4 linked regions of the Drosophila melanogaster genome follow. The protein of the gene in region 3 interacts with the protein of the main gene of each other region in a pairwise test. Each region holds a gene or a part of one and is shown on either strand. Other genes may lie near its edges. The genes, in order: cv-c, CG4116, Hn and Nelf-E.

What was found.
Region 1: the proteins of Hn (region 3) and cv-c interact in a two-hybrid assay, tested with the Drosophila melanogaster proteins (one large-scale study listed by BioGRID).
Region 2: the proteins of Hn (region 3) and CG4116 interact in a two-hybrid assay, tested with the Drosophila melanogaster proteins (one large-scale study listed by BioGRID).
Region 4: the proteins of Hn (region 3) and Nelf-E interact in a two-hybrid assay, tested with the Drosophila melanogaster proteins (one large-scale study listed by BioGRID).

What each region holds. Positions count from the first base shown.
Region 1 is NT_033777.3:14,476,652-14,485,293, reverse strand, and holds the start of cv-c (crossveinless c), read left to right. Parts: upstream 1-3,580; 5' UTR 3,581-3,714; exon of another isoform or gene 3,715-4,381; 5' UTR 4,382-4,652; intron 4,653-8,642.
Region 2 is NC_004354.4:3,063,561-3,071,026, forward strand, and holds CG4116 (uncharacterized protein), read right to left. Parts: upstream 4,003-7,466; coding exon 3,208-4,002; 3' UTR 3,055-3,207; downstream 1-3,054.
Region 3 is NT_037436.4:7,756,360-7,765,269, forward strand, and holds Hn (henna), read left to right. Parts: upstream 1-4,093; 5' UTR 4,094-4,267; coding exon 4,268-4,297; intron 4,298-4,624; exon of another isoform or gene 4,625-4,918; intron 4,919-5,007; exon of another isoform or gene 5,008-5,188; coding exon of another isoform or gene 5,189-5,203; coding exon 5,204-5,876; intron 5,877-5,934; coding exon 5,935-6,197; intron 6,198-6,262; coding exon 6,263-6,492; intron 6,493-6,552; coding exon 6,553-6,715; 3' UTR 6,716-6,807; downstream 6,808-8,910. Other genes in the region: CG32373 (uncharacterized protein), read left to right, coding at 751-820, 933-1,228, 1,294-1,405, 1,469-1,594, 1,672-2,262, 2,361-2,584, 2,650-2,691; Clk (clock), read right to left, coding at 7,854-8,910.
Region 4 is NT_037436.4:8,596,791-8,604,285, reverse strand, and holds Nelf-E (negative elongation factor E), read left to right. Parts: upstream 1-3,406; 5' UTR 3,407-3,542; coding exon 3,543-3,623; intron 3,624-3,681; coding exon 3,682-4,199; intron 4,200-4,288; coding exon 4,289-4,455; intron 4,456-4,519; coding exon 4,520-4,596; 3' UTR 4,597-4,844; downstream 4,845-7,495. Other genes in the region: CG5989 (uncharacterized protein), read left to right, coding at 289-380, 431-1,021, 1,083-1,371, 1,433-1,771; RpL14 (ribosomal protein L14), read right to left, coding at 1,983-2,183, 2,444-2,638, 2,871-2,972, 3,249-3,251; CG43078 (uncharacterized protein), read right to left, coding at 5,378-7,495. UniProt on the Drosophila melanogaster protein: Essential component of the NELF complex, a complex that negatively regulates the elongation of transcription by RNA polymerase II by RNA polymerase II. The NELF complex, which acts via an association with the DSIF complex, causes transcriptional pausing.

The sequences.
Region 1 (8,642 bases), on a different chromosome or scaffold from region 3:
TCCCTTCCTTTGTCTCCTTTAGCCAGCGCAGACCCAACGCAGACCCCATTCCGCATATCGTCCAAAGTTGACACAGCTTTTGCTTTGTTTTGGTACAAAACACTGAGAGAAATATTGCACTTTATTTTATAACAGTACTTAATTGTTAGATGAGCAGATATCCGAAGTAGATAGATGAGTAGATATCTGAAATGTTAAATCTTAAAATCTCAACACTTTTGTTAAAAATTATCTAAGTTGGTTTTTCGAATTTCTTAGCTTTCCTTTGTTTTATTCTTTGTTAGGACTTCCGCTTATTTTATTCAAATCTTATGTACAATATTTATTTTTTACTGGTGTATAGCACTGTATTTTGGGGTAGATATGATCCATATTTGCACAGCGCCTGCCTGAGTCACTCGTTAAGTCGACTCAGCGCGATGTGTCAGTTTATAGGCTGGCTGGCCTGCCGTCTGGCATTTGTAATTGAAGGACCCAAATGACTTATCTCAGACACCCGGCTCTGGGGTCCCCGCTTCCCGGTCAAAACAAACAGCACTTAAAATGTGTTTTCTTGTTTGCCCGCCATGTAACAAGTGGCTGGCAGGCGGAAGTGAACTAGCCAAGGATTCCAAAGGTAAAAGGCAAACACGCGCAGAGACGTGACTACCTGTGGATGGTGAATAGAGCCATAAATACGATCGTTTGTCATAGAACAAGGGTCCTATTCTGCGACTCCCTGGACTTCATGGACACTCCAGGTATCCGCCCATTAATCATGCAATTGTGGCTGCAACCGGCAGCAGATTTCGCGGCAAGGCTCATCAATAAATAATTTGCGGCCAATAGAAATGCAGTGCGTGGGGTGGCGCTTAGATTAATGAAGGCGTCGCGATTAGAATCAATTTGAATTAATGAACATTTATAGCGGCTTTTGGAGCTTGTTTGCATACAAACACGCGCAGCGGGTTGTTTCGGCCTGGCGAAAACAAAACAAATAAAAAAAAAAACGAACAATAAAAACAAAAGACTTAGGCAACGAACTTTGGGCGGCAACGGGTAGTGTTGAGATTTTGGCCAAAATGTTGGACCGCCCGGCTGGTCGACTTGCTTATTAATTTCACATGCCTTGGCCATAATGAAAGGCGATTTTATATGGCCCGGCCGCCTGCCGTCGTTTATAATCAAGTTAAATGCGCGCTCGTCCATAAAAACTCGACTTATCAGCCAAACGGCAAGGCCAACAAATGGCGCAAATGCATTTAGGGGTGTGCGGCAAAATAGGGGGGGGGGGTATTCCGCCCTATCTTCTGCCTATGCCACAAAATCTGCATATTGCACCGTTTGGAGACAGTGCGACCATTAACAGAATGATGTCGCTGAGTGAGTGCAAGAGCGAAGCGAGCATTGCCTTTTTTATGGCACTTTTCACTCGCTTCGGTTTCGGTTTGGTTTTAACTCGGTGCGGCGCATTGCATTATGGAAAATCCCATACAACTTTATTGGCCAGCTTCCCGCTGTGTGCAAATATATAACTCTGTTTATCGCATTTCATACGGCATTATTTATGCCAAAGTGAAAAGTACACGTACAGCGAGAAAATATAACAGGAAAACAACTGCTTTGTAAGTATACAAATTCAAAAGATTGCTTTAAAATTTATGTTTTTATATGATTATTAATAGCATAATAATGTTGAAGAAAAATATAATAATTGACTTCATATTCTAATTAGAGAAAGTGCTGGACTAGGTGCATTTTTTGCAGTGCACTGTCTAAGACAAATTTCACCCGATGCCATTGGCATTGAAAACTATTCAAAATATTTCCGAAAATATCTGCGTGGCATCTTTTTGTTTCTCAATATTTTTGCTTTTGATGTGTTTACCTTTCGTTGGAAATCAAGGGGGCCAGACGCTATCGATCAAGCATGCAGCACATCACACGGCATGGAGTTTCTGAATTGGAATCTGGAGTTCATGAAGGGACTGGGATTCATTCGGAGATTGGGGAGCTCCTCACACGCTCGCTTAGATTTCAACACAATGGGCAGTTTCGATTTCAAAGCCGGCAAGAGAACCCGAGCACGTAGATCGGGTCGGGAATGGTTATGGGTAAATGGGTATATCTCTCTGCGACGTTGATGCGCACCTTCGATAAGGATGAGACCGACCGGCGAACACACCTCAAAACGTTATGAAATGCGGAGGGAACGAGAAGAGAAAACGCAAGAGAAAAGCCAATAGAATGGAAAAATAAGGAGATGGCACAAAAACAGGAAAGAGTTGACACGGCTAATCCTGACGAATTGTTGTTAGCTGTCTTGGTTCATTCAACAATTTGGTCGGAACAAGAGTTCGTTCTCCTCCATAAGAATGATTTATAATTTCACGTGCTTTATTCTTGGACCTTACAAACGTCTTCGGTTTTAATATTTATTAACTAAGCACCACCAATTAGCTGCAACTAATTAACTGCCAGTTAGAGGTGTTTATATGATTTTTTTCCTCTTATCTTATACTCCTACAAATTATTAATGGTATTCAAAAGGCTCATTATGCCATTAACTTTATGGTTTTCAAACTGTGGTCATATCTGTATTTTTAACTAAATTACAGACTTGAAGGATTTTAAATTAAAAGTTTAGCTATCTAATTAGATAATTATTCATTTACACAAATCGTAGAACTCTGCTAACCGGTTATTGAGTATTTTATTGCACTTGAAACGTAAGTTGCTTTAAATCATGATTATATTATGATTAGTAATATATAATTTGTTCTTCTGACTAGGAACATTAGTTTTGTTTTAGTAGGTTACAAAAGTAAAGTGATTAAATAGTCCACAGCTCACTTGTGAGTTTTTCATTATCATTATATACAGTTAGTTTGTCTCGCTTTCGTTTTGGTTCACACAATTTTATGGGTGAAAAAGTGTTAAGCCAATGCAGGCGCTAATCAAATTGAGACAACGAAAGTGTTAAGTCGACTTCCAGGAATCGGGCTATTAAATGAGCGTTGGGCCATAAATCTGCAGATAAGACAATGCCCCACTGATAAGAACTAAGGGAGATGCCAGTCGATAAAGCCTGAAAGAGGCTGCACAAAGATGAGGCCCGGGTCATAAAATCAGAAACCCAAACACACTAAATAAGCCATAGAGAAGACTAACATGGGATTTTATCACCGCTTGTTAGTGTAAATTTACAAACACATTCGAATGGGTGTGTAAGAGCTACAAATACATCCATATGCTTGGAGTTTTTCCAACTGTTTTTACTTTCAATAAACAATTCTAGGGGATTTCCTCTCGAACTGCAACATGCTTGAGGTCGTTTGAGATCGCTCCGATCGGCTCGAATTGAGCTGTTGGCGCAGTTTGAGCGCAACATGTTGCTCTCTTCATAATTCTTGCTGTTAGCTCGCTCTGTTAACCGGTAATCGCGGGTCTCGCGCATGTTAACTCCATGTGAACAGCAAGCGAACGTTTTGAGTTCCCATAGAAATAGCGTCTGTTAACCGCTAAAACGCTGTATCTTAACATTTCCATTGAAAACAAAGCGGGTAAGCAGGGTGATCCAACCACGAGTTTGTTGGATACAACAGTTGGGTTTCCACCTCGACCGGGAAAAGTCGGGCAAATTTAAAGCGCTCCTCTGTTATTCAAATTTTTTAAAAACATACTGAATCCAAAAAACCGTTGTTTATTGGCAGTTCTCAGGTTTTTACGAAAAAGGTGAACATTGAATTTAGGATCCGAAAAAACGTGCGGGTCAAGAGATGTAAATATATTGCAAAATACTGCATCAAGTGTTAATAATCATTTTCAGAAACATAAGCTAAAAAACTGTGAGTGCGTGACATCGTGTGTTTTGGATACGTTTTATGAATGAGCGCGGGTGTGAACGAATTTTTCGGAGTCAACAACAAATAACGAACGCGATAAACAGAGGCACACTCACACAACCGCGATTAAAAAGGCACTCTCCATTAAACAATAAAGAAATCTCTTGTTTTTCGAAAAGCAAATAGAAAATACGAAAATGTAGCGCGGAAATTGCAGTGCCAAAGAAAACAAACGCATCGTTTGTTGGGCTTGAATTTCGCACGGTTTTAACACTTCCCATAATAAAAAATAAACATCTTTCGAAACCAGAAAAGTAAAAATAAAAACTGCGTGCAGAAAAATATATAAAATTAAATAGTGCATAAAAATCGGTTTTCTTTGCGGTTCGGTTCCGTTTTTGTTTATTTGTAGTGTGCGTGTGTTTCTGTTTCCCCCTTTCTATCTCTATCCCTGTCTCTTTCTCTGCCTCACCGCCCGTCTCTTTCTCTCTTTCGAGTAAGAGAACGCGTGCTTTTGTTTTCGATTACGTTTACTACATTTTTTGTACGCCCCATAGAAAAAAACATGACGAAATGTTGTTGTTGAAAACGAGAAATAAATACAAGTGATTCAGAAAAATAAAAAAATAAACGAAACAACGAAAATAAAAGAGAAATTACACATCTGATTTATACGAAAAGAAAAGTTCTGTGAAGCAATATACGAAAGTAAAATTCTATTTGGTGTTTATAGAATCTCCGATGGTGTTGTGAAATCAAAGAAATAAAGAAAACCCAAAGCTACAGATACTCTCTTCGCGAGCAGCAACCGCAAACGCATCTAAAAAGGTAAATAGAGCTTCGGGACCCCATGTCGCTTATCTTCGGGGTAGGATAAACAATCCATCCAGCTTATCTGCAGGTCCATAAAGATCTGCAGATCTCGAGAAATCCAGACGTCGCTTGTTTATGGGTGGCTTCGGGGCTTCCTAGAACGAAACGTCAGAGTTTTAGATACATCTTGTGATTGTCGCCGGGTTTGCCACTTACTTTCACTCCCCAAAATTTACCTGAGTTTCTCGGTTTTCTAGTCTTTGACTTTGTGGTACAACTTTATCTTGTCAGCTGCGAACTGAAAAAGATAGTGATAACCTAAATAGTATATGTTTACAGTTAGTTAGTCGCTGGCATAATCTACGCGACGCGTTCGAGTTATCTGCGATCGTTTTTATTGGCCTTATACGAGTTCTGATCGGCTTTCTTTACCATTTCCGCTGCTGTTTGAATTGTCAGCGCTTTATTTTGATTCATAAATCATAATCGCTATGTATTGTAGTTTGTTTACACTCTGGTCGAGTGCTGCTTTTTCCCTCCAGCGTTTGTTTTTAATTCATGGGAATAATCACCGAAAAGTGCACAAACAATCCGAATCCGATTTGCATACTTATTGAGAACTCAGCCAAATGGCAGGCGTAGCATTTCCGGTTCTAAAATGCGTCATCGGAGTATGTCGATCGTTTTAACCCCCGAGAAACTGAAACTGGCGACCCGTTTTGTCTACCATAACAACAACTCTTGATACGGCCCGCCCTTTATTATTTTACAGCATAGCCACCTTATATATAGAAACTCGTTTTTCGTTGTTTCTGCCTTTGTTGTTTATACTCCACATACGTACCGATAAGTATGTAAATAAGTTCACAGCGAAACACTTGTGCTGGGTGCTTGATAAAATAGCAAATTTCAGGTAAATAAAACTGAAACAATATTTCGACTGGCCTGGCGTTCTTCATCTTCTGGTTGGGAAAGACCCAAAAAAATTGATAATTCAATGTTTATAAGTTACATGCAGTTAGGATTTTTAATATTATTTCATTTATTTAGATATGAAATTCAAAACATAAACAAAATAAACAAGACATCTCCCATCCTAAAACATCTTCCGTAAAAAACTCGCTTCTGATTTTTAATTAAACAAAACCATGTTACACCCAATCCAGCAGCTTAGAAGCAAATCTCTGCCCAGATTTTCCCTGATTTAGTAAAATCGCTTTCCCCTTGTTCGGCAGCTCGCAAACATTTATCAGGCGGGGCAGGTTCATCAATTTCGTGTGTGATAAATGTCGTACAAGAATTTACACAAATATGTATGCATGTCTCTATGTCTCTGCTCCAGCTGCCGGGTACAAGCTGAGTTGACAAAATGATTTGTTTGGGCGCCCCATGTTTTGTCTTATTGTCGCCAACCCCTCACCAGAGCATCTTCATGATCACCGATCGCTGAGCGCCACCCTGAACTTAAGGCCAGAATCTCGAATCTCGATGCAGATCTCATCTACGGACTGGAGTAACGAAACAGCCACTAATTCCAAACAATGTAAGGCATTATTTATTTTTAACTGAGGTCATCAGCGTAGACATCGTCTATTACAAAAAACGCCCGCCTCTCTCTAGAATTTTTCATCTCATCGTGCTGGGAGCTCCGGTTCTCCGGTTCTACGATTCCCCAGTTCTCAGTGCTCCATTCTCTGTTCTCAGTTTTCCGATCGCTACACAGAAACACAATATGATCGGTTTTAAATCTGATATTATGATTAAATTCAAGCATAAGGAGGAAAATTTTGAAATCTTATAAGATCTATCTGCTCTTTTAAGTAAAAATTTCTTAATTACATAAAGACATGAATAATATTTTACTGAGCACTTCTTTTTTGTGTTATTATTATTATTGTATTAAAACATCGATTTTTTATGTGTACGGTTTTGAGTTCTATAGTGTTGTTCTTATTTCAAACTTAATGTGCTCGGTGCTGTTTTTTGTTCAGCTGTTGAACTCGAACTCTCACCAAATTATGCCACACACACAAACACCCAAACTGATAGTGTGAGAAAGAGAGGGGTAGCATGGCGGGGGAAAGAGAAGCCGAGCAGTTTTAGTTGGGTTTACAAAGATCCAAGACCAAAGAGCCAAGACCCAATGCCAGCGGGGCCAGCAAACATTATTTGAAATATTTATGCTTGACTTTTGCGCCTCAATGACTTTTGAATTGCCTTGCCTTTGGCTGCCAGTTTCCACACACACAGCACACACTCACACAACCGCACTACCACACGTGTGCATAAATGTATCTGGATTTTATGTCGGTTCTTAAAGATACGCGCCGATCTTTGTGTATATTTTTACATGCCGGCGCGCACATATGTTGCATCAATGGATGTTTGGGATCTAAGATTCCTAGCCCCACCGGAGAAAACTACACAAACATTAAAGACACATTAACCTGCTTTTAATTTGTCAATATTAGCTGGTCAAAGTCGTTGGTCCGCGCAGAAGAAAGGCCTTTCTCGGGTTCTCAGGCCACACTTTTCATTTCTTTCGGCCATCGTTGGAAAGTGAGGCAACAACTCAGGCCAGCTGAGAAGAAAAAGGCAAAAAGGCAATAACTCTGCACGACAGACCCAGCATGTCTGAATGTCTGAAATGTTGACCTTTTCACAGCTGGAACCATCTCTCACATCATATCGTTTGTGGGGTTCTTTTCGGTCTGGCCGTACAGCATATTAGCCCATTGCTCGGCCGCTTGTCAATTTCTGTCAGTTGCTTGTCAAAAAATTTGTTTGGTTGTAAAAAATGCAGTGAAAACGTTTACAGACCACAGATCACCACCAAAAATAGGAAAACAATCTGAAAAACCGTACACGATTTTCTTGTAAGCCATCCAGAAAATGATTGACGAACCGCACTGACGAGCGCTGACTAACTTACATCTTCGTACAATGTGAATACTTATAGTGCACACTGTGAATTCCCAGTCTCTGGCTGCATAATTAACCTTTTGGCCGGACTTTTGAGAAATGTATGTACATATGTGCTGTAGTACTACACCCGGTCTTTTTGCGTTTGTTTACAGCGTAATTTGTTGATAAATAAATGTGAAAATGCAAACAAATCGGGTGAACAACAACCACCGGGCTACGCAATCGACGTCCGCTGACTAATGGCTCCCCAACTTATCTAGCCCACTCCCTGTTTTTTAAGGTAGTGAGGTATAATATATAATGGAAGGGCTCTGTTCTGTTGGACACGTATGTAGGAACACAAAATATTGGGTTGATTTCTTTTCGGGTATTCCCTTTATTGCCATAACTTGACATTTTGCCAATTTGTCTCGAACTGACACGTCTGCTGCGTAGGTTAGGTGGCTATTTTTTTTTTGTCACCTTAGAAACTCAGGTGGAAATATGTGAAGGGCGTCGCGTTATGGCGCCATTAAAAATGAGCTAAATTAGCATTTTTTAACGAACTTGGTTATTAATTCCTGCTTTTGGCGTAGATCACCAATTAATTCACGCTCGTTGGCACGGCAGGTGATCTTTTTCCCCCACTCTCCAAATCTCTCTATCAACTATGATGATCTAATCCGGCGCATTCAATTGCCGTAATTAGGCTCAATTAATTTGGCATAAAAGCGGAAATGGAAAAGTGCTGGTTCGAGCGGATGCAAAAAACAAAAAAAAAAAAAAAACGGCAAAGAAAACCCCCCAAAATGTAGAAAAAAGCGTCGGAAAAAACTGTCTTAATGATAGACATTCACTTTTTATGGCCGCGCGAGGTGTGTGTCTTAATGGAGTGAAATTTCTGGTAATTGAGCGCGACGAGCTTTTTGGACTCTTGGGTGCGCATTTGATGAATTTTTGATTTTTGAGCAAGTCCACATATTTTTGCAGCAATTTGCCTGGCTTTTGTTTTTGGCACGGCCGAGTGACTCGGCGTCTACTTTGGCTCGGCCCCAGCCTTCTTCTGTGGATTTTGCCTTTGCTTTTGCTGTAGCTGCTGTT
Region 2 (7,466 bases), on a different chromosome or scaffold from region 3:
TATCAATCAATCAGCGGTAATGTTTCAGGCAAAATCAACGAAAAATATACTTTTCAAAACCATACGAAAAAACGCAGCGAACAAGCGCACTTGACAAGTGTGCCAAAAAGGCAAACAAAAAAAAAAAATAAAACGAAAAAATCAGAAAAAAAAGACAAGGTCGTTGTCCACTTGTGAAGGCCTTACCACCCTGCTCGCCCGCCTCCCCAACTCAACCCATCGAAAATTGGCTTACAATTGGTCTTGTAGAGCAACCACAAAAGTACTAAGTAAATCAAACGTCAAGTGGCCAAAGCACCCAAAAAACCAAACAGACAAAAAACAATAAGGCCGAAAAAAGTTGGTAGAAAAAACCGGTAGAACAAACACGTCACGGCAATTAAAAGCCAACGGAATACAAGAAATTTACAGAACAACAAAAATCGATTTCAAAAGCCGGGGGAAGGGGGCCAGCCAACTAAGCCACAATTGTTGTTGCTGCCATGTCAATTGACCATTGCTTTGAGGGATTCAAAAAAAAAAAAAAAGCCACAAAGAATTCGAGAAATATCGACAGACAACGGTGAAGAATGGACAAAAAGGAGAGGAGCCGCAGAATTTCATCGGTTTCTACATCTTGCCTGCATTGCCACTTGGACAAAAAATAAAGTGTTAAGACCAACACAGTCAGCCACAAGTGATGGCAGCGTGACCCATTGTACATGTACAAATATATTAAATATAAATAAAATATCTTAAGAAAAAAAAGGGAAAAAATTATACATTTCTGACTTTGCCATGCTATTCACTAGAAATTTGCCACACAAAGTGTCATGATTATCGCTGGCAATCCCGGTGCTTTCTGGCACGTGACTCACGCACCCATTCTTTGACTCCCACATTCCCCGGATCCCTGGATCCTTGGATCCTTGGATCCTGGGCAGGATGCCCCACAATTATGCCCTTTCCTGACCACAGACGTGGACACTCTGCATGCCAAACTTTTCCACTTTGCAACTATTTCAAAAGTGAAGCGAAACTTGTGGCCCACTTAGTCGTCCGTCCATGTCCATACACACACACACAAACACACACACACACGGCTAAATGTATTTATGTATATATTTTCGGATATCCCGCCCGATGTCCGTGTGTCAACGCCGCAGTTTGGGTCTCCGACGTCGATTTCCAATGCGGTTCGTGTCTTTGCCTGCTGCATGATTTATGATTTCTGCCTCGAAAAGTATTTGTGGCATTCCATTTTCCCCCGCATTTGTGGCCCTTTCCTTGAGGTCCAAAATCCGCATCCCGTATCCCTTATCCGTATCCCCGAGTCCAAATCAGAAGCCAACTCAGTGGCAGACTCACTGCCAGAAGCGTTCAAAGTTGTCTACTCAAATCATTTTAATTGAAAATTACACATGAGCGGAGCCGAGGAGAAGTAAACTTTTAATCACAAGTAGGCGACTTTCGGAATGCCCTCTAACTTCTTCTTCGGCTCCATAGTATGTATATATTCTTTTATATTAATATAGTATATAGTATATAATATAAAATTAGCTAATTTTAAAGCCCAAGCTTTTCAGTTTCGTCTTTGTAGGGCAGCGAAATGTGCTAGACCAAAGGGAACCGGTGAGTGCTTCCAAGGGCAGTGGATGGTGATTTTGACTTTTAGCACAGCACATGTCCTTGGGCTGAGAACCTGTGTACCAACCACCGAACCATCACTCCCCCCCCCCCTCCACCAATTAAACCGTAAGACCCCACCCCTGGCTCCCCCCTGCCCACTACAGATTTTCCCCCAAAAGGTTTCGCGGGCTTGCCCAGGACCTTGGCTCTCGGTTTTTGGCCTGGCACATGGCACGTTTTGTCCGTACCGGAAATGTCCATTCACTTGCATATTAACAAAGTTCCGCACACTCACACACCAGTTGCTATTTGGTCTATGCAAATGCACTGCGAGAAATGGAGAAATGGAAATGGACTTGCGTTTTGGGGTATGTTTTGCATATAGATTATAATTCTGTTAAAACAGCACAACAAATAACCATTGCATACCAATTTCACTACATCAAATCTCAGTCGTCTGCACGTTTCAGTGTATGCTTGCTTGGCAGCAGTACTTAATAAACTCCCCAGGAAGAGACGCAAAAGAGAAGGCCAACCAAGTTGGTCGTACATCATAGGGTCCTTTTCCATATCCTCACCATGGGGGAGAGGCTATGCCAGGGTTTGTGGGGGCGGCGGCGGCGGCGGTGGAAAGGAAACAGGAAAGTATTTTGAAGGCACCGGAAACCGGAAGCAAGCAATAATTCAAATGAATTTCAAATCAAATCATTGCAAAACATTTACAAAGTATGTGCGCCAAAGCGCTGCACAAAACCGCACAAGAGCCAAATGCCAGCAAGTTCAACTTTGACTTTTGCCAGCAGCTGCAGGTGGGCGCCCACGCCTCCTCCATTCGGCCTCTTGCCTTCCACGCCCCTTTCCACAATTTTTCACCACCCATGCCACTATGGCCTTGCAGTGATTAATTTCTATTATTATGACACTGATTAGGTCCACTTACAGGCTCATTACAGTCATGAGCACATAATACACAGCCCGGACACGTGACGGTGATTTAGAGGTTCGCGAAATGGAACAGCGGCGCCGCACGAGGGGTCGTCCTGCTGACCAGGACGAGGAGCAACGGGCGCCACTCCCCGGGCGCCATCCTGCAGACATTTATCAAGACATTGACCGCCGCATGCAGAGCCGACCGGAGACCGTTTGTCTTGCACTTGACCAGGGGCTCACCAAGGGGGTTCTAAACGGGCCAGCGCACCTCGCAGACACACCGACTGGCGGCCCTTTGAACATGAACACCAGTTGGCCCATAAATTAGTGCAACTACGCCAAATCCACTGGCCTACACAAATTTGAGGCTTTGCAATCGCAAATTTGGTCGATTGGAAAACATACACAAGGTGAGAGCAATGATGTCCATGAAATATGCATGTTATACCAAAGCTAAAATTTAATTATCCATTTCACGCCTTTGCCATAATGACCTCGAATAAAACCACCTTGGTTGCAGAGTGTAATTGCTTTCAATCATTTAAATAAATAAATAAGGTTGCCTTCTCGCATACTAATAGTAATCATTAAAAAAAAAAAAATTCCTTGGCTGGGGGGCAAAAAAAAAGTAATTTTTCGCTTAACTAAGAAAGGCGGTGGATCCTCTTCTCAACCGCGATTTGGTCGCACCACCATCACCTGGGCCTTATTCTTGCCCCGCTTGTTGCCACGCCGGCGACGTCGCTGATTGTTGTTGTTAATGCTGCCACGCCTCTTGTTGACCCGGCGCCTACGGGCGGGAACGCGCCTCCTATTGTTCTGGCCACCGGGACGCACTCGACTGGACACCGCCTGGCCAACGATCTGCGGCAAGAGACCGGCAACTGGCGAGGATCCATAGATGACCTGATTAATGGCCGCATTGGTGGCCGACGAGGAGGAAGACGATGATGATGAGGATCCCGAACTGCCCAGGTTCACATAGATAGCTCCATTGGAAGTCGTGGTGACCAGGCCAGTTCCGGTTCCCGAAGTCGTTCCTGTTGTTCCCGTCGATGTGCCCGTAACAGCTCCCGTTCCCGTTGATGTGGTGCCCGAAGTGGGACGCAGTTGCTCCAGCATATCCTGCTTATTGGTTATGTACTGATTCAGGGCCGAGTTGATACCGGTGTTTGAAGAGCTGGTGCTGCTGCTGCCACTGTTCAAGCCCGATGCCAGGAATCTCAGCTGGCCATTTTCGTTGCCATCCTTCACATAGATGCCGGCCAAACGGGTATTTTGTTCCTTGGCCAGCGGATCCTTTTCGACCTTCTGGGCCATTGCTGGGCAACAACTGCCCAGCAGACAGAGCACTAGAATTGCGTAGATCATTTCTGGACGATGGACCATCGAACTGTGTGTGCCATTGGGCAGATCTTTGGCACTTTTATAGCCCAACATGAGTTGACGGAAATCGACTTTCATCGGTCATGGATGCCATGATGCCCGGAATTTTGCTTGCCAATATATATAGGTTATAGGTTTTAGAAAGCCTTTCTTCATTCTTCTCGCACCATTTTTGCTGGCCCCGAGGCCAAATAGTTGGACTTTTCAAGTGGCAAGAGCGTGTCAAGAAGTGCCCCTACTTGTAGGCCATTGTTTGCTTTGCCGCGGATCGTGAACCTCAAGTGGTCGCAGCCGAAACCGAAAAGCAAAACCAAAGCCAAAAACCAAAACCAAAAACCAAGGAGCCACACTTTAATTAAAATTTAAAATCAGCAACAGAAACACGTCTGCTTGCAGCTTCAGTTGGGGGTTTTTTCGGGCACAGTGGGTAATAATATAAATGGGAATTTGAAATCCAAATCGTATATTGGTTTTTGTACCTTTTAAGGGTTCTATTAGCAACGGAATACTGCTCTATAGCCGAGCAAATACTCTGCACGATACAAAGTTGAACCCATAAACCGCTGTTGCCCCTTTATGCACCCACTTAACGCTTTCTCTCTCTCTCTGAGAATTGCATATTTTCATTCACTCCTTTTTTTTTTTTTTTTTGGATCAACCGCTGTGAGATTGTGCATTCGGAATGGTTTCCATCACTTTGGCGCCAGTGTGCCGCAGATGGCGCCCCCTATTGGGGCGCATTTAACCCCCGGAATCCCCCTTTTTGCCAGCCTCATTTCATTTGCCGTTGATGCGATGCTGCCTTGCTGGTGGTGCCTTGCTTCTCAATTTTTCGCCTAAGTTGGCCAACCGACAGTTTTGGGGCTGAATGCCTGGCGGGGGCTGTTGAAATAAATTTCACTTACGCCAACGCTCACACACACGCACCAAAACTACACTGGCCAAAAACACAAAGGATTGCTCTTAAACTAAGAAAAAACAAAGAAAGGGGCAGCCATGTTAAGCATATATTTTTGTAATTGTAGCGATATATGATGATAGTATGTCCCAAATTCCGCTTTTAAGAACCACCAATTGTTTTCTGCCAGTGCAGCGCACACATGGAGCGCCACACGAACGTAGAGACACATACGAATGTCGCTCACTGTTCGCGGTTCGTCCTTTACTTGGCAATGCAATTACAGGCGCTAACCGCGCGTGAAAACAGCAACAGTGGCAATAACAACAACGGCTAAGGGAGAAACTATCCATCCACACCGAAGGGAAGCATATGCTCCTAAAATCATCTTTAAACCGGACTATCCACACGAATTATAATGCGCAGGCTAAACTAGTTTCAAAGCTAATATTAGTAGATAGTATTATAGTGATGTGCATTCAAATAGAACTGGTAATATCATATATATACTAACGTATAGAAAATAAATATATTGAATATGATCATACTTAATAATTTGTTTGTCAACTTAAAAGCTGTCAATTTGCTCAACGATTTGCAGTGACATTCGGCAAGGCAAGAGTATGTCCGATAGTCTTTCCTGCTCCTTGGCCTTCCTCTTGATTCACTTTATCCGGCACCACCTCTCGATTTTCCCCACCCCACACGCAAGGTGAGGCTTCCATTTCCCATTTTCCTGCCACTGAGCGGCTTAAAGCGACGCAATGACAATTAACAACAGGCGACGACAAAACGACAACGAAAGAAGGTGAGGCTAAAAATGGGATGGAGGTTGGGAGGTACTCAGAGGTACTTTTGGGTGGTTGGGGAAAATGCCATATCAATGACAGCACCAGAAGCCCGAGAAGAAAAATAAAGCGACAACTTCACGCCAGGACTCCTCGCAGGAGATTCCACCCACTTGCCAAACCACCACCCACAACCCACCACACAACATCCGACATCCAACAGCCAACACCCACCTGCCCCACACACTTACGCATATTAACAGGCTTGAATTTTTCAGTTTTTCGCAGACTTTTCCAGCAACACACCAACACACCAATAGCCCACCCCTTCCATTTTCATTTGCACGTGCAATTGAAGTGCAAAATGCGTTTGGCAATAGAATTGCCAGCTAAAGTTTTCCCCAAACCAACTCCAATTCCCGCTTTTACCCAGATTTCATTCTCTACCACAATACAAAACTCAGTTCCGTTCTTTCGTCTACTCAATTTTTATTTTTGCTCCACTTCGGTTTGGTTTTTGAAGGGAAATTTTTGTAAGTGAAATTTCAATGACATTTTAATGGAAATTGCAAATGAATGATGAAGTACGTTGGGGAGGGGGGAGGGGGGGGTGGATAGTGGAGGTAGGTGTACTTAGTGGCTTGGAAAACTGCACAGACCATCGGGGGGAATTACAGACTTGCATAATTGATGCCAAACTTAGGGATATCTTGGCACTTAGCAAGCGTAAAGCAGTGCCAAAAATAAAAAAAAAATAAGTGAAATAGCACAGAGAAACTCAAATGTATAGCAGTGAAACCTTTAAAAAAAAGAGGCTAAAAAACACTAGTTAAAATAGGGCTTATACATGGATATCAGGGGCCTAACTCTTGAATGGAATTTTAAAAAATGCATTCATTCAGAACGCGTTTTAATGAAATTTCCCGGCGACGCCATTCCATGTCATCCCGCTCCCGCCTTTAAAAGAAAACTTCACACAAAGGGATAAACTGGGCAGACATGCGAACAGAGTCCCTTCGATTGGGGAATAAAGATGCACAGATCCCCACATGGCATCACATCACGATTCGACTTTGCCCTCGTGTCTGGCGTCAGCTGTAGCTCAAAGAAGCTGGGGTCGGAAAAATCGAATTTTTGAAATTTGAAAGCTGGAATCGTTTGCCCATTTTTTGCCCATGTTTGCCCACCAATTAGTTTTTTTTGCCCACGTCCAGTTTTTGAGATATGAATTTTCGAAAAAGTTCGAAAATTTTCGAAAATCAAAAATTTCGCTTTTTTCAAATTTTTTTTTTTTAAATCGCAATAACATCGTTTGCCCACGTTTGCCCACCCTTTAGAATTTTGAAAAAATTTATACTTTAGGAAATATAAGGCTTTTAAGTTTACCTCGGTCTAATCAGAGAGTAAATCGTTTGCCCATCCAAATATTATCAACAAAAAACGTTTGCCCAACCATTATTATTAGTTTTTATCGTTTGCCCACCCTTTAAAAAACCTTTAACAAAAATTTTTTTTCGATTGCCCACATTTAAAATACAACCAATTTCCTTAGCCCACCTCTTTAAAATAAAAATTTCCAATAAAAAACGTTTGCCCACCATTTAAAACTAAATAATTTCGATTGCCCACCTTTTAAAACTAAATAATTTCGTTTGCCCATCCTTTAAAATTCATTTTTAACGTTTGCCCACCCTTTAAAAATAAATTATTTAGTTTTAAGAGTGGGCAAACGAAAAAAACAAATTTTAAAGGATGGGCAAACGAAATTATTTAGTTTTAAAAGGTGGGCAATCGAAATTATTTAGTTTTAAGAGTGGGCAAACGACAAAAACAAATTTTAAAGGGTGGGCAAACGA
Region 3 (8,910 bases):
ATATATATATATATATAAAATATATATAGAGAATAACATGTTTGCTCGGCCAACCAAATAAGTCTAAGAGTAACACACCTACGCTAGATTTCTATTGTATTTAATTTCGTTTAATTAAAATCCATTTACAGTATGGCGAGCAGTTGCAGCGGCGCATTTGATTTCGATTGCGAGTTTAATTGATGTAATGTCAGCTTATATAGTTGAATAACATAATTTAACACTTAGGTTTAATAATCTTCTGAAAATGCTTATACCCTACTGATAATGGGTACCGAAATAGTATTTTTGCCTTGCCGGCCAAATACCTGATAATTCAGTTTGTCGTCAGTTTTCCTTTGGAGCGATTCGTTGTTTGCCGATACGTTAATAAATGAATATTAAAAAAAAGGGTTACGGCATTAAAAAAAAACCTATATATTTTGTAAATAATTATCTTAACAGTGTTTACATCAAACATACATTAAAAGTGTTGAACATGGTAACGGAAAAAAAGTAAAAATACATGTTCATAGATGGCAACTAAAATTAAATACAATTACTAACATCTGTTACTCACAATATTCTAAATATTGTAAATATTATTGCGTTTATTTTTTAATTAATTAAGTGTGTACTTTTAGGCAGACATTTTAATGCAAGTTGGTGACAAGCGCCTCAATGGGAGACACTTGATTAAACAAAACGTTTACTTTCGGCTGATGTTTTCTTAAGTAATCCAATCATGAACATGTTTATATAATTATTGAAATGGTGCAAAACAGAATGTCGACATCAGTGATTGTTTTGTACGCGCTTATGTGTATCGCATTTTCCACAGGTATGTTGTGAATCCATTATAACATAACCATAAGTAAGAAAAATTTCTATTATATACAATTATTTATTTATTTATTTGAATTACATTGATTTTTAATGCATTAATTTTACAGCTTCGTTAAATGATATTCCCGAAATCACCCCCGCAATAGATAACAATTTATCTTTTCAATACGACGATACCTGCTGGACTCCTCCGAGGATTAAAAATGCTAAGGCATCCGTCAAACTTCGCCGAAATGGGGAACATGTCTTTCTTGTGACCTATTATTCCTGCCGCGTCAACTACAAACTCAAACGTGCCAAAGATAATGCACTCTATTGCTCAAATGGTATATGGCTTGGTTTGAAACCCAATTGCATAAAGATTGGTAAAGGAAACACGCATTCAATGAAGCAAAAAAAAATGGTAATGATTTTTTGGAAACTGATCTCTTGATCATAAGATACATTTATAAGTCGTCTTTATTGTAGAGATGCAGGATTGATAATGGTGGTTGCGCTCATATATGTAACAGATCAACTCATAAATGCGAATGCTATGAGGGTTATACACTGAATTCCACCGATTTAAGAAGCTGTAATGGTAGGTACACATTTTTTAATCAATATATCCTTAAGATACACTAAGCTTTATCTTCTGTTTCAGATATCGACGAGTGCAAGGAATCGAATGGCGGCTGCTCTCAAGTTTGCAACAACCTTCCTGGTGAATTCATATGCACCTGTAATAGTGGTTTTGAAATAGACGAAAGTGATGAAAAAACTTGCTTGGGTAAGTACTAAAAAAATTATGTCGAAATCTATAAGCAAAACAAAAAAATACCTATAAATTTACTTACCACCTTCTAGACATTGATGAGTGCGCTGATCCCGAACTATCGTGGGACTGTACGGCTGGATGTAAAAACCTAAATGGAACATACAAATGCCTTCCGTCACTGGTGGGCAGAGTTGAGCCCACCGACGGCGATGGTTTCTCCCCGGGTGAAATAGTGTGCAAGTCCGGATTCAAGCTGTCCGACGATGGCAGTGAGTGTCAGGACATTAACGAATGCGATTTGGCGGATATTGATTCAGATTCTTGGCGAATGACTTACCGTTACTGTGAGCACAAATGCGAGAATACGGTAGGTTCCTATATCTGCCATTGCCCCCAAGGATATCATCTACTCGATGATCAAAATAGTTGTATTTTGGATGGCTCCAAATTACCGCCATCGAAAGACGCGCCTGTCAGTCAGGAAGCACCAAGAAAGGATATATGCCCTTTGTTTAAGGGACCAGCCAACGGAAAGGCTTCTTGCGATAAGTATCTCCAAAATGGCTTCAACTACACTCGTTGCAATATTACCTGCAACGCGGGTTATATCATGCAGGGCTCACAATTTGCGGTTTGTGGACACACCGGACTTTGGTCTAGTCCAGAAGCCAAGTGCGTGGGTAAGTACACATCAATGTACAATGTACAAACAATTTAAGTTAGTGCTATAGGATTTTATAAGACACATTATGTATTTGCTATTGCATCCTATTTCTAGAATCCCTCGCATTGAGTTGTCCAGTTTTGACACCCCCTCGCAATGGACGTTTCTATCCTGCAAGCTGCAATAATGAACCATCCAAATCACTCGCGATTTGTGAACTGTTATGTGATCGAGGCTATTTGCCCAGAATGGACACACAGCTCATTTGTGCGGCACCATGGGGCTGGATCCAAAGAAGATGGCAGGACAATGTGCCACAATATGTGTTTCAGCAATCAGTAAGACTGAGTAACCTAACTATAACACATATTTACATTTTACCTTTACGCATTTAATTTTTTAGGTGAAACAGGACGAGGGCTGCGTGAAGATCGCTCCGCCTTAACCGGATTCCACAAAGCCGTTAATTTATTTTAACATATAAAACGACAAAAAAAATAAAAATAAATTTAACCTACACTCCTGCACTGAAGCGTGCATTGATTTTGTATTGACTATCAGTCTTGGTGTGTAAAAATCAATGAAGATGTAAAACTTTTGACATGTAGAACAGATGTTTAATATTCTCCGCTGAAGACAAATCTTGTAAGCAAACGGTACAGATAGGGCTTGCTTGTTTTTCGGATGTTTAAGCATCGTCATCATAGATCACTCCCATTTCGTCTTGATTTTGGAGTGTATTGAAAGTGGATTATCAATTCGGTCTACATAAAATATTAGCCTTAATACCCTCATTGTCTTCAAAAATGACCTGATTTCTTTGCCTACTTTTGGGCCTAAATCAATGCTTTTTAGGATTGACAAAAAACATATCTAAAAATAGAAATAAGAATATTGAAACATTTTATGTCGGAAGTAAAGACATGGTATAGATATGGTTTATTGCTTTAGCTTTTGTAAGCTCTTGTAATATTACATCAGCTTAAATTTCGGGGTTATCTGTTGACGTGCTTATACCGAGTGAACTCTGAACTTGAAACAATAATAAACCTACTCATAGATTAACAATTACAAGTGGGTACCACAATGTAAGTCACCTAGACTTAAGGAAAGCGTATTACCATTTAAAAGACAAAATCCGACAAAAAGTTCGGGTGAGTGTAACGATTGGACTAATTGATTCCAGTCAATCTGATGTGGACCGCAAGTATAAAAAAAAAACCAAGAGTAGCGCGTGCCAGGCCCACTTGGAGCTATTCACTACTGAAATAATTGCCCTGAAATGCCGTTGAACTCGTTTGGTTAGAACCTGTCATTAGAAAAACACAGCCCAGATTATTCAGTATGATTTTTTGCAAAACAAAGCAAATCTAAAACTAGCTGAAATAATGTTTTGTTAATTTGGACCCCAGCAGAGGGGCGAGTCTTAGCTGATAATATTTCCAAAATACAGTGGAACATGCGAAAAGGAAGTGCTTTGGGTTCTTCAAAAGTAAGAAAACATTGTTTACGATATTATATTTTATCTATAGAAAACTGTGCCTAAGTTCCAGGAACACAGATCTATAACATTCAAAACTGGTTTTTCGAATCAGGCGTTCCTTTTTTTCGTATTTTGAATTATGGATGCTAGACTGTATTTAAGCCTCAACATTTAGATTTGATCGGCTAGACGACGGCTTCTGTAATGAAGCTGAATACTGAAATGGGATTTTAGGCCCATCGAGACACTGGGCACTGATAACCCCGCAGCCGCAGAGCCATAGCCGCGATTGGATCGCATGTGGATGCCGTTCCAAGATCATTTACTCGCCCGATTGCCCGCGATATTATTTGTATTTTTTACTGGTTTCAGTTCGGATTGATTTTCGTTTGGGCTCAGCTATGGGGCCTATCGAAAAGTCTATTTAAGCGCGCGATTCATAGAGAAATTAAATCAGTTTTAATTCGTTTGCTGAACGGATCGTTCGCCATCGGTTTTATTGTACTTATCAGTGGAGAAACCCGAGAATCTTGTGAAAATGTACCAGCGGCAGGTCTCCTTTGATAAGGTTTGTTGCTTCGGCGAGAGTCCTCTGTGCACCCGGTATAGAAAGTGATCCGTAAAATAGCTAATAAATTAAAAACAATAACAAGTTTATTATTCTGCGTTCTCAGCATGAACTTGTCCAACCTTTGAGGAAAAAAAATTCAAATAAAATATAATTTTATTATTTTGATTGAAATGAGAATGCGGATCTATAATGTATAAAACCTGTCATGGAATTGGGTTAGTTCGCAATAGTTCTAGACAAAGGAAAACAGAGTGGTGTCTGGGACTCCTAGTGGTTTATTTTATTTTCGCTCCTAAACAAGTAGTTTATTAATGTGTTTTGTAGAGTAAAACCTGAATTAAGACGTCAGGCGCATATATTGGAAGTAGAAACAGTACAGCTTAATAAGATGTCATATAAATACATTAAGAACAAATAATTCAGCCCTGTTAGAGGACCTTGTTATGGCTCAAGATCTTGCAAAGTATACTACTTGGGAGACCTTCCCACAGATACAGCACACCAAGTTCTAGGCCGAGTCCTTGGCAATATGCGCTGATTGCCATTGCGGTCGGACCTAAACCTTCAATATGGGGGTTCAAGCCAAAACACAAACAATCTCAATGATGCAGATCTGAGGCAAGTACTACAATTACAGTTCGTTGGCTCATATAAGGCTTCGGTTAAATGATTATGCGATTTGGGCCCTGGTAGCCTCTGTAATAGGAGATTTGCTGATAGACATTGCATAGTCATAAGAGCAGAGAAATATTATCTATATTAAATAGTTTGGCTTGACTGCTCGTTTAGCCCAGGTCACTCGGAGTCAATCTGTCAAATTTCCAATGATGCAATGGCTGTTTTCCCAAACAGCAAAAATATAAACCGTAAATATTTTTTAAATTACCAATGAATTTATTACAGCCAACGCGCGTAGAGGATTCGGCTTACATAGTCGAGGGTGTAGATATTAAGGAGGCCAGGAACACCTGTCTTCTGTTTTCGCCCAAGGATTCGTCGTTGTCCAGCGGAGCTTTGGCCAACATTTTGGCCATCTTCAAGAAGCATGACATAAACCTGGTGCATATTGAGTCGCGTTCCTCGCTGCGTGTTCCCGGTTATGAGTTTTTCGTGGAGGCCGATGGAAAATCGGGAGCCTTGGGAAAAGCCATCGAGGATGTGAAGGAGCAGTGTAGCTACTTTAACATCATTTCGCGTGACTACAAGGATAATGCCACGGCTGTGCCCTGGTTCCCGCGGCGTATACGCGATCTGGATCGTTTCGCCAATCAGATTCTGAGCTACGGATCGGAGCTGGATGCCGATCATCCTGGTTTTACCGATCCGGAATACCGCAAGCGTCGCAAGTACTTCGCCGACATTGCCTACAACTACAAGCATGGCGAGCCCTTGCCCCATGTGGATTACACCAAGGAGGAGATCGAGACCTGGGGCATTATCTTCAGGAATCTTACGAAGCTGTATAAGACACATGCCTGTCGCGAGTACAACCACGTCTTTCCCTTGCTGGTGGACAACTGTGGATTCCGAGAGGATAACATTCCCCAGCTGGAGGATGTGTCCAACTTTTTGAGGGGTTAGTTCGATTACTGCCCATTAGATAGAATTCGTAACATTAAATTGCTGCACTTCAGATTGCACAGGTTTCACTCTGCGTCCAGTGGCTGGACTACTCAGCTCTCGGGATTTCCTGGCTGGACTGGCCTTCCGCGTCTTCCACTCCACTCAGTATATCCGACATCCCAGCAAGCCCATGTACACACCGGAACCAGATGTCTGCCACGAGCTGATGGGCCACGTGCCGCTTTTTGCAGATCCAGCTTTTGCCCAATTCAGTCAGGAGATCGGGCTAGCTTCCCTGGGAGCACCCGATGATTACATTGAGAAATTGTCCACCGTAAGTGGCTCTTTGCTCTAGGCTAACAAAGGATAACTGTGTGATGCGTGAATTCTTTCTTTCAGATCTTCTGGTTCACTGTTGAGTACGGCGTGTGCCGCCAGGAGGGTGAGTTGAAGGCGTACGGAGCTGGTCTGCTGTCCTCCTACGGGGAACTGGAGTATTGCCTCACGGACAAGCCGCAGCTGAAGGACTTTGAGCCGGAGGTCACTGGCGTCACCAAGTATCCCATTACTCAGTTCCAGCCTCTGTACTATGTGGCCGATAGTTTCGAAACCGCCAAGGAGAAGACCATGTAAGTTACTAGGCCTAAACATATCTAACGAAAGTGTTAAATAACTTGAATTACTTTTAGTAAATTTGCGAACTCGATTCCCCGACCCTTTGGTGTTCGCTACAATGCCTATACTCAGAGTGTTGAGGTTCTCGACTCGAAGCCCCAGATTTCGAATCTGATGGACAACATTAACTCCGAGTTCCAGATTCTTCAGAATGCCGTTGCCAAGCTGCGCGTCTGAGTAGAATTCATATACATTTTTTACTCCCTCTCTTTACTTACTATTAAGAATGAATCAAATAATAAATAACATGCAATTATGTAAGTTTTTGTAACTGTTTTTTGTTTTGCTTTATTACAACTCTGTATCGATAATGTTCTGGTTTTTTTTTTTGGTTTGGTTAGCATGTTCAATTACATTTTGTTGTTAAGCTCTTTTGAAAAACATATAAACAGTTATGTACAAAATGGGTCTACATTATCCTCATCGTATTTACAGGCTTAAGCAAGTTCTAACGACTCGTCCTATAGGTATGTACAAATCTTAAACATTGAGCTAACTAAAATTATTAAGGTAGTTGTAGTTGAGTTTAAGATAGTTTGTTTCCATTTACAAGTTCTAAGTTTAAAGCATTTGGCTCTTTATCAGCTGCAGATCGAAGCATATTCGAACGAACTTTTCCAACAGTAAAATGGTAATGCAGGGGAAATTGTAATAATGATTGAACTAATGGCATTTCAGCTGTCAGAAAAGATCGGGCCTAAAGAAAACTTATGGGAATATCTTCACAGCAAAATAAATGTCAGTTGCAATCTCAACCTGAGTTATGAGTTATACATACATAATAACACTAAATCGTACGATAAATATCATTTTTGACCTCAATGACGAAGCCCAGTCTTGAAAATAATATGGAATTGAATTAGCTTTGCTCAACTCGTTTGCTTGTTAGTCGCTTCTCAGTATATTAGAATACAAATAACTTAGGATTAGGTTTTAAGGTTCGATTTCGTATCAGAGATCCTTGTTTGCGCCTCGATGGCACTTACTGGATAAGGCTAACCTATGGAAACGATGGGTTCTTGCTACAAACTACAACAATTTAGAACCTACTTACAATGGATTTTTTTTTTTTGAGACCTTTTCTATAGTACACCTATGTTTATGTTATATACAACGCATAATGGGAGCGGGGTGGGACAATACTCAGTCTGTTGAGATCTACAACTAGCTCTGGGCTTCCGATAGATGAGGTTCGATAAAGAGAGCCAGAGGCCAAACTTGATAATACACGGATATGTGGTTATATGGGTTGCCTGGAGTTATACAATTCTATCTTTTCCTATCGCTACAGAGTGTTATATACAGTGGGTATACGCTATTGACTACTGCCTGGGGCTGTGTGTGGCGAGTTGAATAGATTCTGTGATTGCTCTTGGGACATCTGGTATGGCAATATTTCCAGATCGTTTGGCAATTGGTTTTGATTCTGATTCTGACTGTTGAGAAAGGGATTCGAACTGAAGAAGCTATTTGACTGCTGTTGATGCTGCTGCAGGATTTGTTGTTGTTGCTGCTGCTGCTGTTGCTGCTGCACCAGATTGCTGCCGGAAGTGTGCATCATCTTGTTGTCCTCGCTCTGCGTTTCGGAGCCATCATCGCTGATGCCCATGTGAAAGTTGATCGAAGGACTCGATTCGGTGGCCATCTGCATGCAGGACAACAGCGAGTCCTCGTTATTATTTTGCGGAGGATTTGAACTGCGATTGTTGTTGTTCTGGTTGCCATTATTCAGATTACTGCCTCCATTGTAGCTTTGATTGTTGTTATTGCTGCTGGAGTTGAAGGGATTAATGGTGGATTGCGAGCCCAATGAGTGCAGGGGGGACAGATTGAGAAAGGCGTCTATATCATCGATATCCTCACGCAGTAAAATATCATTTTGTTGTTGCAGCTGCAACTGTTGCTGCTGCTGTTGCTGCTGTTGTTGCTGCTGCTGTTGTTGCTGTTGCTGCTGCTGCTGTTGCTGCTGTTGTTGCTGTTGTTGCTGCTGCTGCTGATGTTGCTGCTGGGTATGTTGCTGCAACTGTGAGTGGCTCTGATGTTGCTGCTGGAGATTGTGCTGGTGCTGCGTGTGCAGATTCTGCTGCTGCTGCATCATCATCTGCTGATCCTGCTGGTTAAGCATCTGCTCCGAGTTCAGTGCAAATCCATACTGATTGAATTGCGGCTGCACGGCATTGCTGCCGGTGAAATTCAGTCCACGTTGGCCACTGGCTCCCAAATTACCCACCGCTGCTGCTGTCATGTTGCCAGGTGCGAATCCCATCGACATCATGGGCTGCAGATATGTGTAGCGGGATAGGAGGAGCTGCTCTGATACGATCCTCAGCTCATTCTGTTGCTGGAGGATCAGTTTTTGCAGTTCGTCGTGC
Region 4 (7,495 bases), 840 kb from region 3:
AACAAAACACTTAACAGACATTTTCGTTAAATATAAATATTTGCTTGGCTGGAACTTTCGTTAAAACTGATAGGTTCGTGCATTCGCTCAGCGGTGGTAAGAACACTCGCTAAACGTGTGAGCAGCTCTGTTTGTGTTCCATCTCTAGTTCAACAGCTGTTCAAATCGAGTAAATCGTAATTGCTCCTTGAATTTTTTTTATTTTTGTGGGCAACTCCTGCATTGGAGTCGGCGGTTGCGTAATAACGCGCCTCTTCCTGGTTTCTGGCTGCCACTTGGAGTTACAGTATGGCGTTGGCGCTGCGCGTTGCCCGATGCGCCGCGATTCCGGCCAACTGTTGGCCCCGCGATCGCCGGCGACTGTTACACCTGTGCAGCAGGTGAGTAGTTGACCCCAATTATCAGTCAGCATTAAAATTCAATTACCCAGCGCCAGCGATAAGAGGCCAACAGCTTTCTGCAGCAGGAACTACGCAACGAAGCCCGAAGCAGCGGTTCCACCACAAATCAAGCGAAATGTGGCCGCCGAGATAACCAGCGTGGGTAAGGTCATCTACGAAACGGGCTGGGATGCCAACAAGCCCATTGAAAAGCCAAAGGTCCGGCCCAGCAGCTCGTCGTCCACACAGCCGACGCCGTCTAAGAAACCCGAAGACGAGAAGCGCAAGGAGCTGGACACTGTGAAATCGAAACGGGATCAGATGCGAGACAATATGCAGGACTACATATTCACCCGGTACTTCAACTATGTGAAGAACTACGACAAAGTGCTCGAAAAGAACTTCCCCAAGGCCATGCAGTTGTACAGGGTGTTCTTCGATGGCGTCAAGGACTTTTTTGGCGACATGAAACGTTTCCTCAAGATTGCCCGCATTGCCAATGATTCGCCTCAAGGCATAAGAGCTTTGAATCGCCAGGAGCTGGAGCTGTACATGCAGATGCCAAGGGACATGATGAAGGTGGCACCAGCTCTGATCGGCTGCTCCCTGCCCATGGTGGGCTATGCGTTCTTTCCCCTCGTGTAAGATATGCCCTACTAAACACTCTTGCAAAATTTGGTATACCGATTTGTTCTTTCGCAGCTTTTATTACCCCCGCTCCTTTCTCACTGCCCATTTCTGGACTCCGCAGCAGCGCTCCGAGTTCCAGAGCTACTACATGAAGCGGCGATTATGCAATAACAAGGACGTCTTTCGCTGCCTGCAGGACAAGCTCAAAGCGACGGCATCGCATCCCAAGCACTCGGCTTTTGCTGACATCCTGGGCCAGCTGGGCAGCGGCACACACCCCACGCCTGAGATGCTCATCGATGTCAAAGACATATTCGCCGAAGGACCATATTCCCTGCTGGGAATGTCGCGGAAGCACGTTGTACGTTTAATCTGACACATTTTATGCAGCCTAAAGCATATCACTAATGCATACGTTCCAGAGAAACCTAGTCAACCTTCATGGACTGCCCAGTAGCATCTTCAAGCGACATCGGCTCCACGAGCACGCCTTCCTGGTGCACTACATGGACCAGGCCATAACCCGCGAGGGTGGCGTTCACAACCTGACACCGGATGCTTTGCGCTACTCCTGCTATCTGCGCGGATTGAATCCCGACAGCCTGAGCAGCGAGGCCATGATCGAGTGGCTGCGGAAGTGGGTCAAGGTGTCCACGTCGATACAAGGCGAACATATCACGCTGTTCCTGCACTTGCCCATCCTGCTGGGCTACAACCATCCCAACAACTGGAAGACCATCTACGGCAAGTGCCCCACTTGAGCGGGGTCCTCTGGTCGTTAGCTATTTGGTAGACTGTGCTTTAAAGATTGGACTGTTAAGATCATTTTGTTTCTTGAGAGCAAATAAAACCGTTAAACCAAAAGAAAGCTGGCAGTGTGCTTGTGTTTTTCCTAAAAATAACACTTTCTTTTATTTTCTCCATGGTGGTGGATGTTCATCAAGCAGTTACTTTCGTTAAAGGTAGTATTTTTTACTTCTTGGCCGCGGCCTTCTTGCCACCCTTGGCCTTCTCGGCACGCAGACGCTCGCGACGATCCTTCTTGAGGACGCGGGGAGTGCCGTCAGCCTTGGTGCGCTTCTTCAGTGTGTTGAAGGCGATGGTCAGCAGCTTGTTGCGCTGACGCTTGGCATAACGCAGCTTGAAGCGGTCAAAGTCGTTCAACGAGGAGCGCTGCAAAAGAAGACAAATTCTCATTAGTACTTGATTTATTCTGAATGTTTATGAAGACGCCTAGCTATGATTGTAATCAGATAAACTAGAATTAGCTTCATATATGTGTCAGCCGGCAATTCCTATCAAGAACTTTCAATTATCATCATGTGCAGTTCAAGGAGGTAATCAACTAGGCAGAGAAGAGGTATAACATTTTCCCCTCTACATAGGTAAACTTTCCTACAGCTACGAATCCTCCTCGTGCTCAGTGTACATACCTTGCAGATGTTCTGTGCCTTGACGGACCAGGGGCTGACCTTCCACTGGGCCTTCAGGTCGCTCTCTGTCCAGGCCTTGCGCACGATGCGCGTGGGCGCGGTGTAGGGGAACTTGATGCGGTACTTGGTCAGATGCAGATTGTTCAATCTGTATTCCTGACGGGGCACGCCAGTCAGAGGACCATCTACCAGAACCTGAAAAGTGAAAAGCCATTAATTAGTTTGGATCACTTTAACCATGTATGGCCATGAAGGGAGGAGTACAGCAACAAATGCTGGTTTTGCTTGCTTGCTTTCAGAGGGTTAAACTAGCTTCATTTATGTGTCAGTTGGCACTTCCTATCAAGAAGACAAATTATCATCATGTGCAAGAGCTCGTCACTTGGCAATTTGTTGCTGTTACTCCACTATGGAATGATGCACTTACTCTGTTTTGGTCAATGACGTCGACAATGGCCACCAGGCGCCCCTTCAGGGGACCGGCGGAGGCCTTGGCAATGCGACCAGTTTGTACGAATCTCTCGAAAGGCTGCAAACAGAGAGAAGTCCATTAAAAATGGGTGAAAATGTTGGATTTCGGTTGTTGCATGGCCAGCGCGTTGCTTGTGTTGGTGACCACCACGTGAACTATTTGAATGTTGGATATCCCATGGTTTTCCAACGCTTTTACGCTGCTTTCGCTATTCACACGTTCAACGCACTGACCCGTTCGCTTGGCCGCCAAATTTAATTCATCTCGGGCCATTTAGACCGCTGAATTTTCACATTTTTCAACCGATCCGCAGAAACCTTCGTCGATTCTTACCATGACGCTAACCGGAAAGAAAGAGAAGGAAAGAACTTTTTTGACAGCTCGGTGGTAGCATGGCGTTAGTGTTGCTAAACACAGAGTTGCATGTGGTCTAGTGTTGTGCAGAAATAGTTAATGTGACAGTAAATCATACACATCTTATGTGGTATTTTTCGCTATCAACTGTTACAGTCACACTAAGCCAATTCGATAGATTTCGATAGTAAAAATAAACATTTTGGAATAACATAATTACTTTTGTAGAAGTTACTTTTTACGGGGTTAATTTCAAGCAGACATTTTCCCAACATGGTTTACATACACTTCCCCAACAATTTAACCGAAGAGGAGCAAATGCTGCAGGCCAAGTATCAGAAACTCAAGAAAAAGGTGGGAAAACTCATGCCACAAATGTGATTATTTATATTAACAAGTTTTTAACCCGTAGAAAAAGGCACTGCAAGCGCACAAGGCGCCCAAGCCGGAGCCGGAGAGCTCCTTGACCTTGAAGCGTCCCACGGATGCGCGAGATGCCCGTGAAGTGGCCAGGAAACTAATCAAAAGCGGCGCCATTCCCGCCATCCAGAAGCAGACCAAGCAAGATCAAACCTCCTTCAAGCGGCCCAAAGGACAGGAAAGAGCCAAGCGCTCCACCTCGGAAACCACTGTTGCCTCCTACCAGCCCTTTTCGTCTACGCAGAACGACGTGGCCCAGGAGACGATCATTAGTGAGATCATTAAGGAGGAGCCGCGTCGACAGAATCTCTACCAACACTTCGCCACCGAGCGGGATCGAGAGGAGCGCGGCATGCCCGAGAAGGTGCCCATGGACACAGCGCAGCCAGAGAAGCCACGGGCCGGCAATACCATCTTCGTGTCCGGCAACAAGGTCACCGAGGATTTCTTAAAAAAGACATTCAACGACTACGGCACCATTGTCAATGTCTCCATGGAGATCGAAAAGAGGTAAGTGAACATGGAAAGTCCATGTTATAGCTTACATATATATTTTCCCAACTGGAGAAATTATAAATTTATCCTGTATGGCCTTGCAGTCGCGGCTTTGTTTCCTTCGCCAAACCCGAGTCGGCAGATCGCGCCATTGCGGAGATTCATGGCAAGAATGTGAATGGCATCAACTTGCAGGTGCAGTTGGCTAGACGCCAGCCCCAGATTGAGCCCATTAACGATGCCTCCTCGTCGGCAGTCTGGTCATCTATTGGTAAGTGCTCAGTGTTTCTCTATAACTTAAAAACGAAATCAAACCTTATGTACTCCCCAAATAGCCGCCAGCAAATCACAAAAGGGTAGCCACAAGGACCACCGCGAGATGGTTCAATACGATGAAGACTTCTTGCTCTAGAGCGCAATAATTAGTTTCTACGTTTAGCTTTCTACTTACTTTATCCCTTAGTAACAGAACACATTTCAGTTTATTTTAAATAATTTTGCTTTATTGAAAATACGCTTCTATATATATGTTCACTTTCTGGCTAAGTACTCGCATTTCAAGTTATAACGTTCAAATGAATTCAATGAAAAAGATTGTATGTTTTGTATATTAATTCCTACGTTTTGATCTAAATTAAACAACAATATGTTTAACAATTGAATCTCTCGCTTTGCCTTACGTGGTAGAAAAGATGAGCAAACAAAATAAGTTCTTATTAGTGGTCCTCGCCCCCTCCTCGCAAGAAACAGAGAACGTCGTATGTATGTACATAGCATGAGTTAAGTAAATAGTTAATACATGATCGTTGCTTCTGTTGCTATGCTCTGCCATATAGATTTCTATATCGTTGGTAGACAACGTTGAAAAATGTTCCCTCTATATTTCTGGTTAGTACAAGTTAGATGTCGGTATGTGTGTGATGATGGGTCATTGAACTGGGATTCTGGTTTCGATTGTTTTGTGTGACTAGTAGCACGGGCACGCCCCTGCCCAACGCCGCCCCCATTGGCGCACCTCATTCCTAAAGTAATTTCTTGTTAGTATCATTAAGGCCTTCAAGTTTCGAGCGGACACCTGGCCGCGTTTAAATTCGTTTCTTCATCCCGCCAAGTATCTTGGCCAGATTCGATGCTCCAAAATGCAATACCGCTCCAAAGGATAACAAAACCAGGATGGGACTGCCCACAGTCCCTCACGTCTGCCTTCCATGATCGTTCCCGGGCGGATTAAAGTAGTCCCAATGATGGGTGTGCACCTGCCGCCCCGTTAACAGGAATACCAAAACTGCGAGCGTGATCGCGATGAAGAGGATCACCAGTGCTGATATATTACGTGTCGCCTGTTGAGGCTCCATTGCTTCACCTCGAACATAGTGCGTCAGCTGGTTGATAATGTTAACCAGTTCCAGGCTGCAGGCGGAGGCAAAATTCCGTCCTGCTTGAGCAACCGTCTTGGGCTGATCGTCGTCGTAGTCTTCATCCAATGGCTGGGTAGCACTGCGGGTACGAGAGCGACGCGATCGCGAGCGTGGTCGCTCCACCAAGTGTTCCTCTGGTTCGGAACCTGATTCCGGTTCGAGGGGTTCCTGGACATGACGACGTCGACATTTGTGCGGTGCCTTTCGCTCGACTGATTTCAAGTCCTCCGCTTCCTCCGCCTCTGCGCTTCGCTGCAGATTAAAGAAGGCTAGTGGGGCCAAGGACTGAAGGTACTCAACACTGGGATAGGCTGTCGGCGGTGGAGGTAGTGGCAACAAACCGGCATCCGTCTGGGTCTGCTCGTCCAGATTGGATGCGGGTGGCACTTGCTCGGTGGTCTTGCTGTGACGAGGTGGCTTAACGGGCAGCTCCTTCTCGGAGGTGGCGGGTTCGCTACTTGCCTGCCGACTAGTCTGGGTTTCAGTGGTAAGCAAAGATGGACGCTGCTCTCGCTGCACCCGCTCCACAATGTCATCAATAAAACCAGGCGGGAGTTCGATATTCTGCACCACCAGTTGTCCGGACTTGCACTGCAGATCGTCTGCTTTGACTTGATTGCCATGCAGTTGCGATACTTGAATCTGACCAGCCTGCAGGGCATGGACGCGCAGACGTTCCACCTCTAATTCGGCCAGGCGACTGGGGAATTGCGGTTCTGGCGCAGATTGCACCGTCTGGATGGGCGTAAGCTCGCGGCTGTACTGTTCGGCTATGGTCAGGGCTGTGGTGGCAATGGTTTCTAGGGCGGTGGTGGACTTGCGACGTGGTGGTGGAAGAGGAGGCTCCTCTGGTTCCTCCTCTTTGTCTCCAAAAGCTGGTTCGGTGGGCAAAGTGGCAACGAATTTTAGCTCAACTTCGGCCTCGGTGGGTTCGCTAGCTGTGGATTTGTGAATGGTTTCCTCAACTTTCTGGGTTTCGGGCTCAGTCGGGGTATGTTCCGTGTCGGATAAAGTGTGCTCCTCCTCGGAGAGAGGCTGTTCACCATCGGATAAGGGATGCTCATCCTCAGATGGGTGATAACCGACCTCGGAGGTGGCTTGCTCCTCTTCAGATTGGTGGTAATCAATCTCGGAAGCAGCCAATTCCTCCTCGGAGAAGGCCTGCTCTTGCTCTGATTCTTGCTCCTTCTCCTTTTGGCGGTAGTCAGATAGCTCCTTCTCCATTGCTTCCTGTAGCTCCTTCTCCAGAGCCTCCTCCAGTTCCTGCTCAGTTAGTTCCTTTTCCAATTTCGTTGTTTCCTGCTCTTCCTCCTGCTCCGAAAACTTTTCCTCCTCATACTCGCTGTCCCTGAGGGTTCGTTCAACTTCATCGTCCTCCAGTTTACTCTCGTAGTCGCTCTCCAGCTGAGCCTGCTGTAGTTGCTCCACCGCTGCGTCCAAATCTGCCGTGCTGGCGGCGTAGTCACTCAATGCCACCTCACCGTGCTCATCCTCCACGTCGGATTTACTTTGCACCGAGCTGTCAGAGAGCAAGCCCTCACGACGCAGTTCCTCCTCCTCCCGTCGCAGATCATCGTCAATCAAATCGGCAGCACTAATGGGTCTAACGATTAGTGAGGCCTGCACCGTGGCATCATCCTCGCCAACAGTTAGGCTGGGAGTGGGCACACGGCGTTCGATGATCACCGCCGATGAAGGCGTCTGCGGCCGGCTCAGCGACTTGGAACGATCTGCTTGCGATGAAGCCCGTGATCGCTCCGACATGCTGCGCTGATTGGCGTCCCGGAATCTCTGCAGACCTTTAGCCAGCTGCTCGTCCTCGGACAGAACTCGAGCTCCATCTACCTCATCCTGCTCCTGAGCTGCCTCTACGCTGCGCAACAGATCCTCAAG